Notamacropus eugenii: one gene and its partner. The protein of the gene in region 1 interacts with the protein of each later gene in a biochemical or structural test. Links are inferred from orthologs where the notes say so. Each region holds a gene or a part of one and is shown in the gene's direction. Other genes may lie near its edges.

Region 1 (7,868 bases):
ATCGAGGGCCTGGAAGCTCTTGCCTGTGTAGGATCCTAGGACCTGAGTTATCATCAAATCCAAGTGTTCTTAGCCTGGGCTCTGTGAACATTTATAACTGGGCTTTAGTATAATCGATTTCCTTTGTGACCCCTGGGGGTTTTATATATTTAAAAACATCATTCTGAGAAAGAGTCGAACGCTACCCCAGACTGACTGGCCTGGGGATCTAGAACATAGAAAAGAGGAAAAAAATCTCAACAGTTTATGTCTTTGTTTCACACATGATGCTTCCACAGGTGGATTGACTTGCCCAAATTCAGAGTTGGTAACTGGCAGAGATGGAATGCAAGATGAGCTGCTGTAGCCCCCCGTGCCACGGTCCTTCTGACCCTTGTATGACCTCCTCTTCCAAGCCAGTGACCTGGACTTTCTGGTAGTGATCACAAGCCTTACTGCACTCCTGAAGGGAAGGAGGGAGCAGTTTTAGCTTCCATAACTCTGCTGAGTTGGCAGAAATGTGATTTTAAGTGTATGCCAGGCTGCCTTCCCCAGAGAGCATTCCTTAAGACCAGGGGGGAGAAGGGCTAAAGACAGGAGAAGTAAAGAGCCCCTGGAGAGACAGCAAGAACAAAGTCCCTCCCTGCAATCGAACAGGAAGGGGTCGCTGCCAAAGACCTGGGTTGATTGCCTCACACTTGCCAGCCTGTGACAGGTGTAGACTTCATAGTTCTTAGACCACAAGGACAGCCTTGGGCACTGGGAGCTTTCCTAGTAGTGGGATCTATTCAAACATAAAGGCCTGTGATTTCATTGGTGGGGATGCATCCTCTACCCTCCCAGGTCATAGCTCTCTATACATTTAGTATAAGGGTTTGGGGGCAGTGGCCAAAGCATGTGCCTGTGTAGCCAGTCTGATGAGGAGTATCTCCAGATTTAGCTCTAGCAGGTCCTCAGCTGGCAGGGACAGTCCAGAGCTGAGCTTCTGGATGGAAGCTTTCCTGCCTGTCAGGATCTGCCAGCATTTGGCCTCAACTGGCCAGCCTGGCCTAGGATGCAGGGTCCACTCCACTCCACATTGCCAACAGGCCCAAGAAGAGATTGTGGAGAGTGGGCCAGGGGCCCAAGAAGCCCTTGTAATTGAAGTGAACCACAGGGTTTGCTCAGCATTTTGTCCCAAAGTGCTCCGATGCAGCTCGCCACCTGGATCTTTGGATCTTTAGGAGATTGATTAACAAGTGCTTTTTGGTTGTGTCAGGTTCCATGTCAGGTTCCTCTGAGGAGGAATGACCTATGCATCGATAAGTCTGTAAAGCAAGAGAGCCTTTACTAGCACGAAGCCCAGAAAAGCCTCTGGCAGGTGGGAATGAATTTATTTAGCAAGCACTTGTGTGTGTTTGTCCTTCATTGCTGAAGAAGACCTTGCTATCAGAGAAATAATGACATGACTTGCACTTGACTTTGTTTTGAGTGAGGGAGGGCTGTGCAGGTCACCAGCCTCACTTCTTCTCCAGAGCCACCTGAATCCAGTGAATCCATTCATCAGGATGACTGGAGATGACCCAGGATGAGGCAGTTGGGGTTAAGTGACTTACCCAAGGTCACACAGCTAGTGAGTGTCAAGTGTCTGAGGTGAGACTGGTACTGTATTCACTGTGCCACCTAGCTGCCCCAAAGCAAGCACTTACTGTGTGAGTAGCTGAGCTATAAATGCAGAAACAAAGCAGTGTCTGGAAGGGTGGCCGAATTGATTTGATGGTAATTCATGGCTCCAGAACTTCAGAGGTTCAGCAAAGGAGGAACATATTCATGGTGAGAGGAGGAAGTGAGGTGTAGCCAGGCTGGGGCTTTTCCTGAAATGCCATTCTGGGCTCTGAAGGGGGCTGGGGATCCCAAGAGGTGGAGGGGAGGAAGAGATTGCATTCCAGGCATGAGGGGTGGTTTGTACAAAGGTCCAGAGGGGGTAGATGAATTGTGTGTGCCAGCTAAGGAAGGCTGCTTTCAGCCCGGTCACTCCTCAGTGTCCACCCCAAGGCCCTCTCTTTACTTGATGTCCTTGGCTCTCCAGACTGAACTCTCACCTCTGTGTACAGCCCCAGCTGCACAAGCCCCACATCACCTCTTTTGTGAACTTCTCCAAGTGCATAGGTGGCCTTGAGATAGCTCCAGCACAAAATGTCCAAAACAAAGTCATTTATTAGATCTCAAGGCCCACCTCTTCCTAACTTAGCTAAATCTTGTGGGGAGTGGATGGAGCACTGGATGGGGATTCAGAAAGACCTGAATTTGAAACACGTGCTTAGCTGTGTGACCTGTTTCCTCATCTCCACCTCCACATCAAATCTGGTCCCAAATCTTTTGCATGTTTCTTTCTATTCCACTCCCCAATTTAGTTCCTCATTACTCTTCTCTGAACTATTGCACTAGCCTCCTAATTGGTCTTCCAGCCTCCCTCCCCTCTAGCCTAGCCTCCATACTCTTTGGGGAGCAGTGTTCCTAAGGCGAAGGTCCGGCTCTGTTGTTGTCCTGCTGAATAAAGTCAAGTGTCTCCTCTTAATAGAGAATAAAAAAATGCTTTTCTTGTTTGTGTTTTAGCTGTCCAGATTTATTGAACGTGATTCTACTTTTCAACCAGACTGTCTTGCTGGTTCTTTTGGTTGATGGCATGACATCTGCTTGTCTTTGGACTAGCTTTCCATCCTTCAGGCCCAGCATGTCCTCTGCCCTCTCCTCAGCCTTGCACAGTTCATGCAACACCTTCTACAGAAAGTCCCTGGGTCCTTCCCCAGAATATTGCAGGAAGACTGCCCTTGAGGCCTGTCTGTCTGAATCCTCAGTGACTGGCACAGAACTCAGTGCAAACTTAGTGGTGGATGAAATGTCATCTACTATTATTACTAACTGCTAAGTCCATTCTTGGTCAGTGAATGACCAGAGCCAGATTGTGAAGGGCCTGTAGTGCCAAACAGGGGAGCCAGTGTTTGGGCCACACAATTACGGAGAGCCCTTGGTGTTGGAGCAGGGGAGCAGCATGCTTGTACCTGGGCTTGTCATCTAGGGAAGCCCAGGGAGGACACTGACAGTGGGCCAAGGAATAAGCTATGCGGTTACCCAGCACTTTCCCACCCTGGTTTCCAGTTTCTTCTAGAAAGTAAAGAGATTGTACAAAATAACCTGAGGGAGGCCCCAGATTGGCCTCCCCCACGCTCCACAGCATGGAGCCCAGAGGCAGGCCTTCTTCCTCCCTTCTCCAGCTGGATTCTTCATCACTCCAAGTAGTCTTTTCCTAATGCATAATGTAGTGTGAAAAAGCCATAACTTACATGGAGGATCTGGGTTTGAGTAACTGGTCAGCGACCTGGTGTCAGGAAGACTCATGCCCCTGAGTTCAAACCCAGTCCCTAGCTGTGTGGCTCTGGGCAAGTCACCTCACCTTGTTTGCCTCAGTTTCCTCATCTGTAAAATGAATTTGGTTGTCCATGTGGCCCTTGGATTTTTATCCTAAACCTCCTTTGCCTACTGTACTTCTTGCCCAACGCCTCTGCGTGAGGCTAGATTCTCTTCTTACAACATGTCACAGCAGATCAGATGATGCAGAAACAAGACCCCAACTATTCAGCCAGACGTTCAAGAGCCTCACAACAATCGGTAAAACAATACTCACCAGACAGGTCCTGTTTTGGAAAATAGTTACTATGTTACTTTTAAGTGACTTTCAAAAATGTATTCGCTTTCCAGTATGGTCAATATCAATAGATACAACCCACCTTAACAAAACTTTTGGGTCCTCGGCAATTTTTAAAAGTAAATATATCCTGAGACCGAGAAATTTGAGAACTGAGCTCGATCCTAGGCCACTTGTAAGGGAAGAAGGGAAAAGAAACAAGCGTTTCCCGTTTCTCCTCCGTGTGCCCGGCACTGCTAAGCGCTTTCAGGAATACTGTCTCCTTTGATCCTCACATCAGCCTGGGAAGTGGGGGCCGGGGTGCTTAGGGGGACCGAGGCCGAGGGCCGGTGCCTTGCCCCGGGTCTGAGGATCCAGGTGCTCTCGCGTCTCCAGCGCAAGGCCCTCTAGCGCCACCTAGGAGCACCGGGGCACCTTCGCGGGCGACCTCGGACCCTGGCTCTGCGTTCTCCAGTGCTCGTCGGTTTAGAACGTGCGCTGGGGCGGGATTCACTCCTTCATTCCACGGACGCGGAATAAGGCGCCTGCCTGTGCCTCGGCCCGCCTTCGGAGGGGGACAGCGGGGTGCAGACCCGGCTGGCGGGGCCCGGGCTCTTCTCCTCCTCCTCCCACCAGCCAGGGCTGGACACGCCCTCCGCACCGAAGGAGCAGAGGCGACCTGGCCTGCCTTCCTCCCCGGGACAGTTAGAGAGCAGTCGGAGGACGGGAGCACGGGGACAGCCCCTGAAGAGCGACTCCCCTCCCCCCATGGCCTGTGCTGTGGCCAAGGACCCCCCTCCCTGGGCGACGGCTCCCCGCTCCCCCCGCAGTACTTGGCCTTCCTCCTCTGTCCGTTTTTGGGGTAACTTGTTGCCCCGAGACGCGCCGGATGGCGCCTGGCAGGGCCTGTTGACTCCTTTTCCTGTCAAATTTGGTCAAATCATTGCAGTCCTCTCCCCCGACCCCCTCCCTCCTTCCCCGACCCCCTCCCTCCTTCCCCCGACCCCCCCTTCCCCCGACCCTCTCCCTCCTTTCCCCGGCCTCCTTCCTTCCTTCCCCTCTCTCCTCCCACCCTTTCCTCCCTCTTTCCCCTCCCCTCCCTCCCCTCCCCCCTCTCGCTCCAGGCCCCGCCCCCTCGCCCCGCCGGCCAATAGGCGGGCGCCGCGAGGGCGGGCGCGAGCCTGGGCCTGGTCCTGCCCCCGCCTGCCGCCCCCGTGCTCGGCTCCGCTCGGGCGCTGCGGGCGCCTCCGCCTTTTCCCGGGGCAGCCTCAGAGCCTGGGCCGCTGCGCCAGAGCCGTCGCCAGCCTCGGCTGGACCGGACCGGAGCGGAGCTGAGCGGGGCTCTGCCCGCAGGTAGGCGGGGCGGCGTCTCGGGGACCCCCTCCGGGCCGCCCTGGAGGTCAAGGGCAGGGGAGAAAGGAGGGGGAGGAGCGGGCCTTGGGGGTAGGGCCGGTGCGCGGCTCGTCTGCCCTTGACCGTGGTCCTTGGGCGGGGGAGGGGAGGGGCAGCCTCGGAGTGCAGCAGGTGGGAGAGGAGGGGACTGAGGCTGGAGGGAGGGCGGGGGGGGGGGGGGGGGGGAGGGGGGCGGCTGGTCCACGTGGCCCAGACCGGGCACCTGCCCGCGGTCCGAGCCGTGACCTGGGCAGGGGCCGAGGACAGGAGTGTTTGTTTGGGGCCGTAGCCTGGTGACTCTGACCAGGTGCCCACAGATGCCGAGACCTCGTGGGGGAAGGGCACCCCCCTCCGCCCCGGGGCAGGGTCAGGCCGGGAGCAGAGGGGCCCCAGAAGGGCTCTCCCAACCCTGACACCCCGGGCCCCCTCCCCAATATCCCCTTCTCTCCGTCCTTAGGTGGCAGTGCTCGCTGCTGGAGCCATCAGAAGTGCCCTTCTGTGCTGAGGTAACTAGGACCTTCTGGAGATAAGACTTTACTCCCAAAGGAGTGAAGCTCTAATGGTGCATTGTACTGCCGCTGAATCACAACATTTGCCCAATTCTCTCATGCCATTCTTGGAAAGGGAGCCATGGATTAAATGATGGTCGGGTGAAGTGAATTCAGAACTAGTGAAGTGGTCCGGCACAAAGGATAGTCATTAATGGCCCGGTGGGAGAGGGGAGGGAGGTCACCAGTGCTCCAGGCCACCGGATCTTCGCTCGATCCTGTGCTGTGATGAAGGGATAGATTTTGCATCAGACTTGCAGGTGACACAATGCTGGAAGGGATGGGCATGGACTGGAACGTTAGACCTCCTAAGGATAAATGATGTTTTACACCTGGGCTCAAAAAGCACCGAGACAAGAAGAGGAATGGCTGGGCAAAAGTTTCATTGATAACTATATGGGGTACATCAGCTAGGAAAGCTGTGTTCTCCAAGAGAGCACTGGGGCAGTATTGTGTGGGCTGCAGGCTGTACTTTAGGAAGGAGGGTGGAACAGGGAGGGTGACCAAGATGTGATAGCCTCAAGATCATGGCACAGGAACAGGGTCTGTGCTGTAAAGAGGAGACTTGGCAGACACTGTCTATGGACCCCAGAAGGAAGAACTCAGAAGGATGGGCAGACGTTACCAAGAAGCGTTTTTAGATCTGATGTCAGGAAAACCATGCTAACAGAGCTGCCTCCTCAGGCTGTCATGGGTTCTCCTCTACAGAGAGTCTCCAAGGGAAGGCCGGGTGACACCTTGTCCAGATTCTTATTCAGGTGTTGGTTGGACTAGATGGCCTCTGAGGTTCCTTCCAACTCCGACATTCTGTAATTGGTTTGAAAGGGATCAGAGGTCATTTGGTCCATCCCTCTGCCTCCAAACCAGACTTCCCAACCAACTTGGACTGCATTGGATTATGGAAAGTCCTCAGGAGAAGAGAAAACCAGTCTCCCTGATCACCCTTGCTCATTGAAAAGGGGGAGCCTGGGTTTGGCTGCCCCACCGGTGTCTGTCAGATGACAGTCGCAAGCCTTCCTTTCTCCCTCCATCTTTCCAAATGCAAGAAGCCTCCGTGGTTCTATGGCCCCACTGATTTTTCCTCCATCTTCTGAAGAATTCTCCATCTCTGCTGGCGCTCTACTTGATGGCCATTGCTGGGCCAGTACGCTGTCCTCACTCACTTTAGAAACTGAAAGGAACTTAGCTCATGTTATTCAGGTTCCCACCCCTACCACATCTCCCTGAGAGGGAAAAGAGAATGAACTTCCCCAAGGTCACACAGATAATGAGTGGCAGGGCCAGGAGTCAGCCCCAGTCCTTCTGCCTCCACATTCTTCACACCACAGACTCATTCCTTTCCCCTTCAGGCCCTGAGTGACCATGCCTCTGGCTGAGGACCGAACTGAGCAGTACATTCGCTTCCACCTCAGTGACTTCTTCCGCATTGATGTCTTGGAGATCCTGTCCCACCTGCCCTGCCTCACCGTTGCTGACCAAGTAGGTGATATAGCAGAGGCAGTTTTCACCCTGAAGCTTCCTCTCCTCCTCTCCCCTTATCAGCTAGATGCAGAGGATACTCACACCCTCTGGGACACCTGCATCCTCTCCCCTGCTCCCTTACCCTTGCTCTCAAGGCCCCTGCCCTAGCCTATCCCAGACTTGTACCCTAGCTACAGAAGCTCTTCATAGTGTGTCAATCCCTTCTTTCTCCTCTCTGGGGGCTCAGAGGCTGCCACAGTCCTAGCTTGGGAGGTGAGCTCTCTGAAGCCATGGTCACAACTTTCTCTTCCAGGACCAGCTCCGTGCCTACATTGACCGTCATGGAAACCGTGACAGTGTGTGGAAGCTCTTTGATCACCTTCGTAAGCGCAATGGCTGGGTGACCTGTCTCATCACAGCCCTGAAGGAATGCGAGCTGACGGACCTCGCTGATGTCATTGCTAATGTCTATGCATCTAACCAGGCCCGTGAGTGCCCTTCCTTTTGTCTTCTTGCACTGGGAGGTCACTGAGCACCTCCCCCAGCCTTGGTGTGTCTATGCCTCAGCACCTTTCCTCCCTTCTCACCCTCTCATCTGCTCTCTCTCCACCTCCACATGTGTGTGTGTGTATGTGTTTATTCTATCTGTTTATCCTCTCTATCATTTCTATTGAACATCTTGTCTATTACATCCTTCTGTCTGTCTTTCTATTCATTCCACAAGTGTCTGTTAAGCTGCCTGGCCTGGCAGCTGGGTGGTGCAGTGGATAGAACACAGGGCCTGGAATCAGGCAGGATCATCTTCCTGAGTTCAAATCTGGCCT
Region 2 (7,999 bases), on another chromosome or scaffold:
ATTGGCCAAGTGTGATAACATCACAAGGAAAAAACATGTGACAAACACATACACATTTTCAAGTGGCCTGGCAGAGAAGCCATCTGTGAACAGGAACATACACAAGATGCTTACAGTACATTACCTACCCCTCTTTCCTTCCCTGAAACATGAAGATCTCATGCACAGGATGGTAATAATACTAAGCACACAATACGTATTTGCTTAATTGAGTCAAGTATGATAGCAGCACATCTGATTGAGGCCATATGAAATAGATACTTAAAAGGTAAACACAAATGGAGAGAACAAGTAGAGGGCAGGGTGGTGATAAACAGGTCAGAGAGTAAGTAGACCTTGGAAGTGAAGAAATGATGGTGTTAACAGAAGTCAACCCCCATGTGTAACAATCCTCTGAACTCTCACATACACATACACACACACACACCCACGTGAAGAAGACAAGAATGAAGACATGCTCACGCTGTTGATAACAAAAACAATAGGTATTTAATACAGTGTAGCCCCAGGGATACTGCTTCTCACAAGAAATATGATGTACTCCAAGCACATGCCCAACATGCTATGCTGTTGGCAGGAACACAGAAATCATGGGGATGTCATGACCGCTGGAAAGGGAATGGGAAAGTGTACAGGGGAAAATTCAATAACGTGAAGAGGCAGAAGGATAATGACATAATAAAGAAATGAATACAGTGAATGTAAATCATATGCAGATAACACAAAAATGCAGTGAAGAAACATACAGAGTGGTGGTAACATGCCTGGGGTGAAAATAACATGCCAAATCATTAGTCATGCAAATGATGGAAGCTGTGGGATGAACGTTCAACATTAATAAAAACATGGACATAGATGAGAGCCTGTAACACATGTACTCATTCACATGTCATATGAGTACACAGTGACAAAATATAGCGGTACTATGGATGTTACATAGACATATGGGCCAGGCCAAACATAGGAAGGACATGCAAATATATATGCAAATGCTATGGGTTTTCTGTGTGTCTGGAGGTCCGTTACCCTCTACAGGGGCTATGTATATGTGATTTCCTCAGGAACACACATATCTAAGGATATCCAGAGGATATCCAACCATATGAGATTGCCAGATGTGTTACATAAACATGTGATTTATAAAACATTACAGGAAGGAAATGGTGAAATAGATGTTATATGAACAGAAATGCAATGCCAGTAGAACATAAGACATAAGTGCTCAAGCAATGCTAGGACTTCCTTAGCAAAACACATGCAGTAAAGTGGATTAATACACCATGAAGATCTGTGTTAAGAATAAATAAAATCATGGAATCAGCTACCTGAAGGCAACCCCAAGGGACAAGAATCACAGATTCAGCAAATGAACCAAAACAAAACACCATAGGCACAGCGTACAAACAGAACATGTGAAGACAACTACCTTGGCAGTGACGATCACTGGCAAAGCACATGAACAGAAACACACAACTAATATGCAACAGAAAGATCTGAGAAAGTAGGCAACATTTGAACATACAGATGCGTAGGGTATGTACATTATACTCCAAATGGATATGACACAAGGGACAGGCCATATTGCACTATAGCCAGCCTTCCCAAAGGGGAATGGATACAACATCCAGCTAATGTGAGGACATTTGCCATGACCATGGATCATATGGGAACATATTCAACCAACACAGCCCACTGTCTAAAGCATGCACACTCAATGGAGAAAACAAGGTAACACACAAGACACACGTGTGTCAGGAAGGGCCTAACATGCACACAGGATATGTAGAGACCTTAGGCTCTGTGCATGGAAATAGAGGGGTGTCCTGGTATGATCCTAGCAACCAATATTCTCTTGGAGGAGGAGTCAGGAATGTAGTTTATAATCTACACTCCTTCCAAGAGATACAAGGGGCAGAAAGAGGAACTGGGGGTGGGGTGTAGCGAATTCCTCTCTCCCCTCACCAGTACTCCTCATCCTCACTCACCCCATCACTATCCCCATCACTATCCCCTTAATTAGGCCAGCCCCCCACTCACCAGGCCTCAGCCCCTCCCTCCTCCATCCCTTTTCTCTCTGTCTGGATTCTCTCCATCTTTCCCAGCGGCTCCTCTCCCAAGTCTACCTTACACTCTCTCTCCCCAGACCCCATTCTCCACCTCCATGACCTCCCAGCTCCCTCCTCCCCCGACCCATCTCTCACCCCCCTTCCCCAGTTCCATCCCTCCCCCACCTCAGTGGGGTAGGGGGCCTAGGGGGCCGGCCCCCTCCCCAGCCAGGCTGCGGCAGCGGTGGTGGCGGCTGTGTCTCTGTCTCTGGTGGGGAGTCGGTGCCAGGGGGCCCTCAGGGTTTGGGGGTGTCCTAGCCCCGGCTGGTGGAGGGGCTGTGGGAGTGGGGGGCCGGACCCATAGTGGTGAGAATGGTGGGAGGGGGGGTGTTCCCCGCTCTCTCCCTCCCTCCCTTACTGCTGTCTCTCTCTCGGAGGGCTGGGGCTGCCGAAGCTGCTGCTGCTGCCGCCCCCCCCTCCCCACCAACGCCTGCTTGTTTCCGGGGCCGGCCAGGAAGTGGGGGGTGGTGACAGGCGGGCTGTCTTGCCAATAGCCTGGACAGGGACCCAAGCATTCCCTCCCTCCAGCTTTTAGCCCTCCCTGCCTCATCTTTTTCCTGCTAGCTCCTCCTGCTGAGGCTTCTGCCTTACTCCTTCCAGCTGTCTATCTTTCATAACCTGTTTTTTTTCTGGCTCTGGTTCCAGTCCTTCCCGGCTTTCCCTGCTCTTCTATCTCCCTCCTTCCACTTCTCTCAGCTTTCTTCTCTCTGTCCTTTAGGCTCCCTTTTCTCTTTCCCAATTCTTCCATTCCTCTGCTTCTCACTACTCATCATCCTTTTTTATTAGCTGCCTCGCCCTTTCAACTTCATCTTGGCCTCTCCCATCCTTATCTCTCTTTGTGCCTCCTAATCTTTTCCCTGTCTCGTGGCTGACCTCTTCCCTACTCCCCATTATCTCACTATGGTCTCTCAGAACACTAGCCAGGTCCTCCCCTTCCTTCATCTTGCCCTCTTCTCTGATCCTTCTACCTTCCTTGCCGACCTCCTCCTTTTCTTAATTCCCCAATTCTCTTCTCTCTTCCCTTCCTAGCACCTTTCCCACAGGGTCTCTCTTCTTTAGCCAGGCTGCCCTGTCATCCCAAAGATGAATTGTATATGCTTTCTCCACCACTGAGATCAGGTCACCATTATTCCTTCCTTCTATGGGCAGACCATGCAGCTTGGGGTGGAATGGGGAGCCGACACTAACTCCTTAAGGTTGTCATTCCCAGTTTCTAACACTTGTTTTCTGGAAGCTCAACTACATCCCTAGCCCTGGCTTCCCACACTTATTTCATCCCACTTGGCACTCCTCTACTGCCTCAGCCTCATCCCTTTCACTCAACTCTCCTTTCTATCTCTTTCAAAAAACACTGCCACCACCTTCCCTTCTTTTCCTTGATGTGTCTCCTGGCCCTGTTTTCTCCCTCTCTGATAAGAGCCCTACCTTCAACTAACCAGCTCCATCAACTTGGGGATAGCCCTTTCCTGCTTTCTTTTTACTTTCCAGTTCCCTCCAGATGTTGTGGTTCTCCTGGATTCTTGCCCCCAGCTGTCTTGGTTTCCCTCTGAGGGCCCCTGTCTGGTCTGTGTCCTCTCTCCCATAGAACCATAGAACATAGAATGTCGGAGCTGGAGGCAGCCTTGGAGACCACCTACCCTCATTTTACAAAGACCCAAGGAAACTGATGCCTAGGGAGACAACAGCTGGGTGGAGATCACAAGCTTCTCTACTGCCTCTCCCTCTCCATCCCTCCAACACCCCCCCCCAACACACACACACACAATTAACCTAAGTCTCTCACTGGCTACGCCTTCAAGCCAGGGTTGGAGGAGAGAGACTGGAGATGGGATGGGTGAGAGCAGGGGGAGAAAGGGTGGGCTATTACCAGGTTGCTGTGCTTGGGCCACAAGGAGGAGGGAGACTCACTTGCCCAAGCCTGGCTGCCTGCACCAGGCACCTGGGCCACGCTGAGCCGGAGCAGGTAGGGGAAGGGCACCCTGCCCAGGAAGAAGACCCCAGTTCTGCTTGGTAGGTCACAGGGAGGAAGGGGCGGGTCTAATTCTAGCCCTGCAGATCATGGCAGAAACAGTAAGAGTATCGCAACTAGACAGGACCTTGGAGATCATCCAAAGCATGATGGAGACAAGACCGTCCAGCCCCTCTTTCCACAGCTGACGACGACATTGGATCTGGGGGAAGTCCAGTGACTCCTGGGCTCACCCAAACAGTCAGAGCCTGGGCTAGGGTTTGAACCCAGGTTCTCTCACTCCAAATTCGGCTCTCTTTTTCCACGGCAGCACACAAGTTGAACTGGAGCGAAATTCATTTCTGCTCTGTGCGTCATCGAAGAAAGGAACCTGGAGAGTCGAGTTCCGCTCCGTGGGTCGGCTAAGACTAAAGGGGACCGAGTGCGTGTGCGCTCGTGGGATGGGGGTGGGGAGGGAAGGGGGTTATAAGCCAGGAGATGGATCTGTGACGTCACGGACATGGGGCCAATCGCCCTTCTCCTGGCCCGACATCTTTGTAAAGGGCGCCGGGCGAACTCAGATTCGGTTTCTTACGTCACCGAAACGGCGGAAGCCATTTTGAACCCGGTGACTAGCATATGTCTCTTTGCTCCCAATCCTAATCTTCGAGGTCTAGAGTAACCAATCAAATTCGAGGGTTGGGTGCAAGGGACGAGGGGGGAAGGAACTTAAGGCTAGGGTGGTGGCCAAGTCAGGACCAATTGCGATCCGGGAGCTATAGCGACAAGAAGACGGCGAGGAAGGGGCGGGTCCCGAGAAGCAAAGCCTCCTCCGGATAGGTCCGTCCTATCCCTCACGTGCGCGCTTGCGACCATCTCCTAGCCAACCGGCTGCTTCGGAACTTGCGCGTTCCTAGTCCAATAGGATCTCGAGGAGGATCCTTTTCAAGAGAAGAGGAAGTGAAGAAAGGACGGGGGCGGAAGTTGGATAGGTTATTAGTAGGTAGAATCTACGTCCTGGAGCCAGTTCAGCACGACACTTAGCAATGGGGGACAAATAATGGTGATGACAGGGTGGACCCTCCTTCACCGCGGACAATGGGGTCTGCCAGGGCGCGTTTTACGGCTAATCCTATGACGCAGCCTCTTGACTGGCGACTACCTTGGCCAATAATCACTGTTCAAGGGCGGGGCAATACGTGCCTCTCCCTCCCCAGACTGTCGTCCAATCCTTTCCTTCCGAACCCTAGGTGACTGGTGGGCAGGATCACCAATGGAGTCTCGAAGACCTTGACGGATGACCAATGGGCGCGAGCAGGGGGGCGGGCTTTTCGGACCATCGGGGCTTGTGTATGTGTTTCGTGGGGGAAGACCTGGGTTGCGGGGGCAACAGTTGAGGGGCCATGGCAGCGGCCAGGAAGGAGGACGGGGGCTCCGAAGGGCCAAACCGCGACCGGGGAGGGGCAGGTGCGGCCTTCGAGTGTAACATCTGTCTGGAGACAGCGCGGGAGGCGGTGGTCAGTATGTGCGGCCACCTGTACTGGTGAGAGCCCCGGGACACACCCCCACACCCCACACCCCCACTCCCACCGTAGTGGTGAGAACCCCGGGACATGTACTCATACCTCCACCAGAGCCCCGGGACACGCACCCTCACACACAGACACACACACTCAGGTACACACTCTCTACCCCTGTACTAGTGAGGGCCCCGGAACACTCCTCTCTCCCATACCCTCCCACACACTCACCTCTTTACTGGAGAGAACTCTGGGACACGTGCATAGCTCTCAGCCTCTCTTGGACCCCAGAAACTACCCCCACCCCATTCCCAATATACACCCATTCTGGGATACATATGCCCACACACATACACACACACACTACATATATAAATACATACACACACATATTCCTAATGGAGAGAGCCTTAGGAGACAGGCATATATACTCCTCTAATATGTACTGGCCACACTGTCATTAGTCTTATGTTGACACGGGATTGCAGCACATCCACAACACACATTCTTCCTGGTACTGATGTGAGAGCTCCAGGAGACAGACACATATGTTTTAGTACTGTATTAGTACTGATGAGAACCTCAGGATATTCCCACCCAGAGTCCTACCTGTACTGTCAACAGCCCCAGGATACCCACCTACAAATCTTATATCTTCACTGGTGAGAATATCATGAAAACACACACACACTTTTATACTGGTGTGTGATATATGTATGTATGTGTGTATCTCTCTTGCTCTCTCTATATACATATATATATATGAAATACATATTCTAAGAGATATATCCTACTCCTAGCTGCATCCCTGTCTAAATAATGCTGACAGCATCAGGAAATGCATACACACCCACAGACATTTCCCAGTGCCCTGGGACATTCACACATACATATGTTTTACTGACAACTTTATATGTATACATATATATGTATATATGTGTGTGTATACACACACACATACGCACATACTAGTAGAGCTGTTGACAGCTTGGGATCACATATCTTTGCTTTGATAGCTGAGAATACAGACATATACACACCTGTACTCCAGTGGAGGGGAATGGGGAAAAAAATGACACACCTGGGATGCACAACTAATCTATATTAATAAGGAGGGATAACAACTGAATAAATAATTATTAAATATCCACAATGTTCAGAGTAACATGTTAGTAGGTAGGTGTTGGGGGAGATACAAAGTTTAGAAAAGACATGGTTCCTGATTTCATGGAGCTTCCAGGGGGATATGACATGCATGCGGATATTATATGAAATAATATACAAATTATATATGAAGAGTGCATGAGAAGTTCAAAACAAAGTGCTATGTGAATGTGTTATTGCTGGAGGGTGACAGTAAGTGAAGGCGGGTGTTGGGTTTTAAAAATAAGTAGTCATTCCAGTAGTTGAACTTAGAGGCCTATGGGATAGGGTGAGCAAATATGTAGAGCTGTGATAGCTAGCAGTCTAGTTTTGCTGGAGACTAGAGTACACAGAAGGTAATGCAGTGAGATTAGATTGGAAAGATAGGTTGTTTCCAAACTGTAGAAATCCTTGAATTCCAGGCAGAGGTTTTAGGGAGCCACTAAAAATTTTTGAGCAGAGTAGTGACCAGTAGAAGACTGGTCTGTAGTAGTAGGAGGATAGATGGCTGGAAGTGGGAGAACAATCTGTATTGAGGGAAGTAATGGCAATAAAGAGGAGGGCATTGTTGAAAGAAAAGGTATAGATGTAAAAGTCAGTAGCACTTGTTTACTGATTGGATATGACAGGTGATAAAAAGGAATTCTAATTTTGAATACGGGAGACTGTATGAATGACATTGACAGATTTAGTGAAATCTACAGGTTTGGGGGGGAAGATAGGATCATGGGATTTACAGCTGAAAGGACCTTAGAAATCATTTAGTTCAAGTCTCGTTTTACTGATAAGGAAACAGATACAGTTAAGTCAAATGTCTTGCGCAGAGTTTCACAGAAAACAGGCCAGCACAGATTCAAACCTGATTCCTTTGACTTTAAATCTGTTTCTGCTACATAAATGAACTTAGATTTAACTAAAAATCATTGAATTGGAAATTTTGGTCTGATAGGCAGATGCAGAGCTATTTGTGTAGTTGTAGATATAGTTAAGGAAGAGATACCAGGGCTGGAGATATGGATTTGGGGATCGGTCTTGTAGAGGTGATAGCTTAAGCCATGAGTGATTAAAATTGCCAAAGGTGAGAGAAGAGGGCCAAGAACAGAATTTACCTTGAAGGGTTGGGAAGAGGAGCCAGCAAAGAAGACAAAGAAGGCATTATTAGAGGTAGGAGGAAAATCAGGGGTGTGTGGTGTCTCTGAAGTCAAGGGAGGAGATAGGTACCCTGGGCTTACTTAGTGTAACTGAGCTATTGCATTTTTTAATGTCACTTTGAGAGATCAGTT

Evidence for each region.
Region 2: the proteins of MAVS (region 1) and RNF5 form a complex in vitro, tested with the Homo sapiens proteins (2 studies listed by BioGRID, with this or other methods). The link is inferred for Notamacropus eugenii from reciprocal best matches to the Homo sapiens genes MAVS and RNF5.

What each region holds. Positions count from the first base shown.
Region 1 is NC_092872.1:735,786,447-735,794,314, reverse strand, and holds the start of MAVS (mitochondrial antiviral-signaling protein), read left to right. Parts: upstream 1-4,865; 5' UTR 4,866-4,996; intron 4,997-5,492; 5' UTR 5,493-5,541; intron 5,542-6,932; 5' UTR 6,933-6,945; coding exon 6,946-7,062; intron 7,063-7,357; coding exon 7,358-7,532; intron 7,533-7,868.
Region 2 is NC_092873.1:85,920,065-85,928,063, forward strand, and holds the start of RNF5 (E3 ubiquitin-protein ligase RNF5), read left to right. Parts: upstream 1-4,999; 5' UTR 5,000-5,056; intron 5,057-5,103; exon of another isoform or gene 5,104-5,303; 5' UTR 5,304-5,350; coding exon of another isoform or gene 5,351-5,403; 5' UTR 5,404-5,456; coding exon 5,457-5,596; intron 5,597-7,999. Other genes in the region: AGPAT1 (1-acyl-sn-glycerol-3-phosphate acyltransferase alpha), read right to left, coding at 4,202-4,271. UniProt on the Homo sapiens protein: Membrane-bound E3 ubiquitin-protein ligase that mediates ubiquitination of target proteins. May function together with E2 ubiquitin-conjugating enzymes UBE2D1/UBCH5A and UBE2D2/UBC4.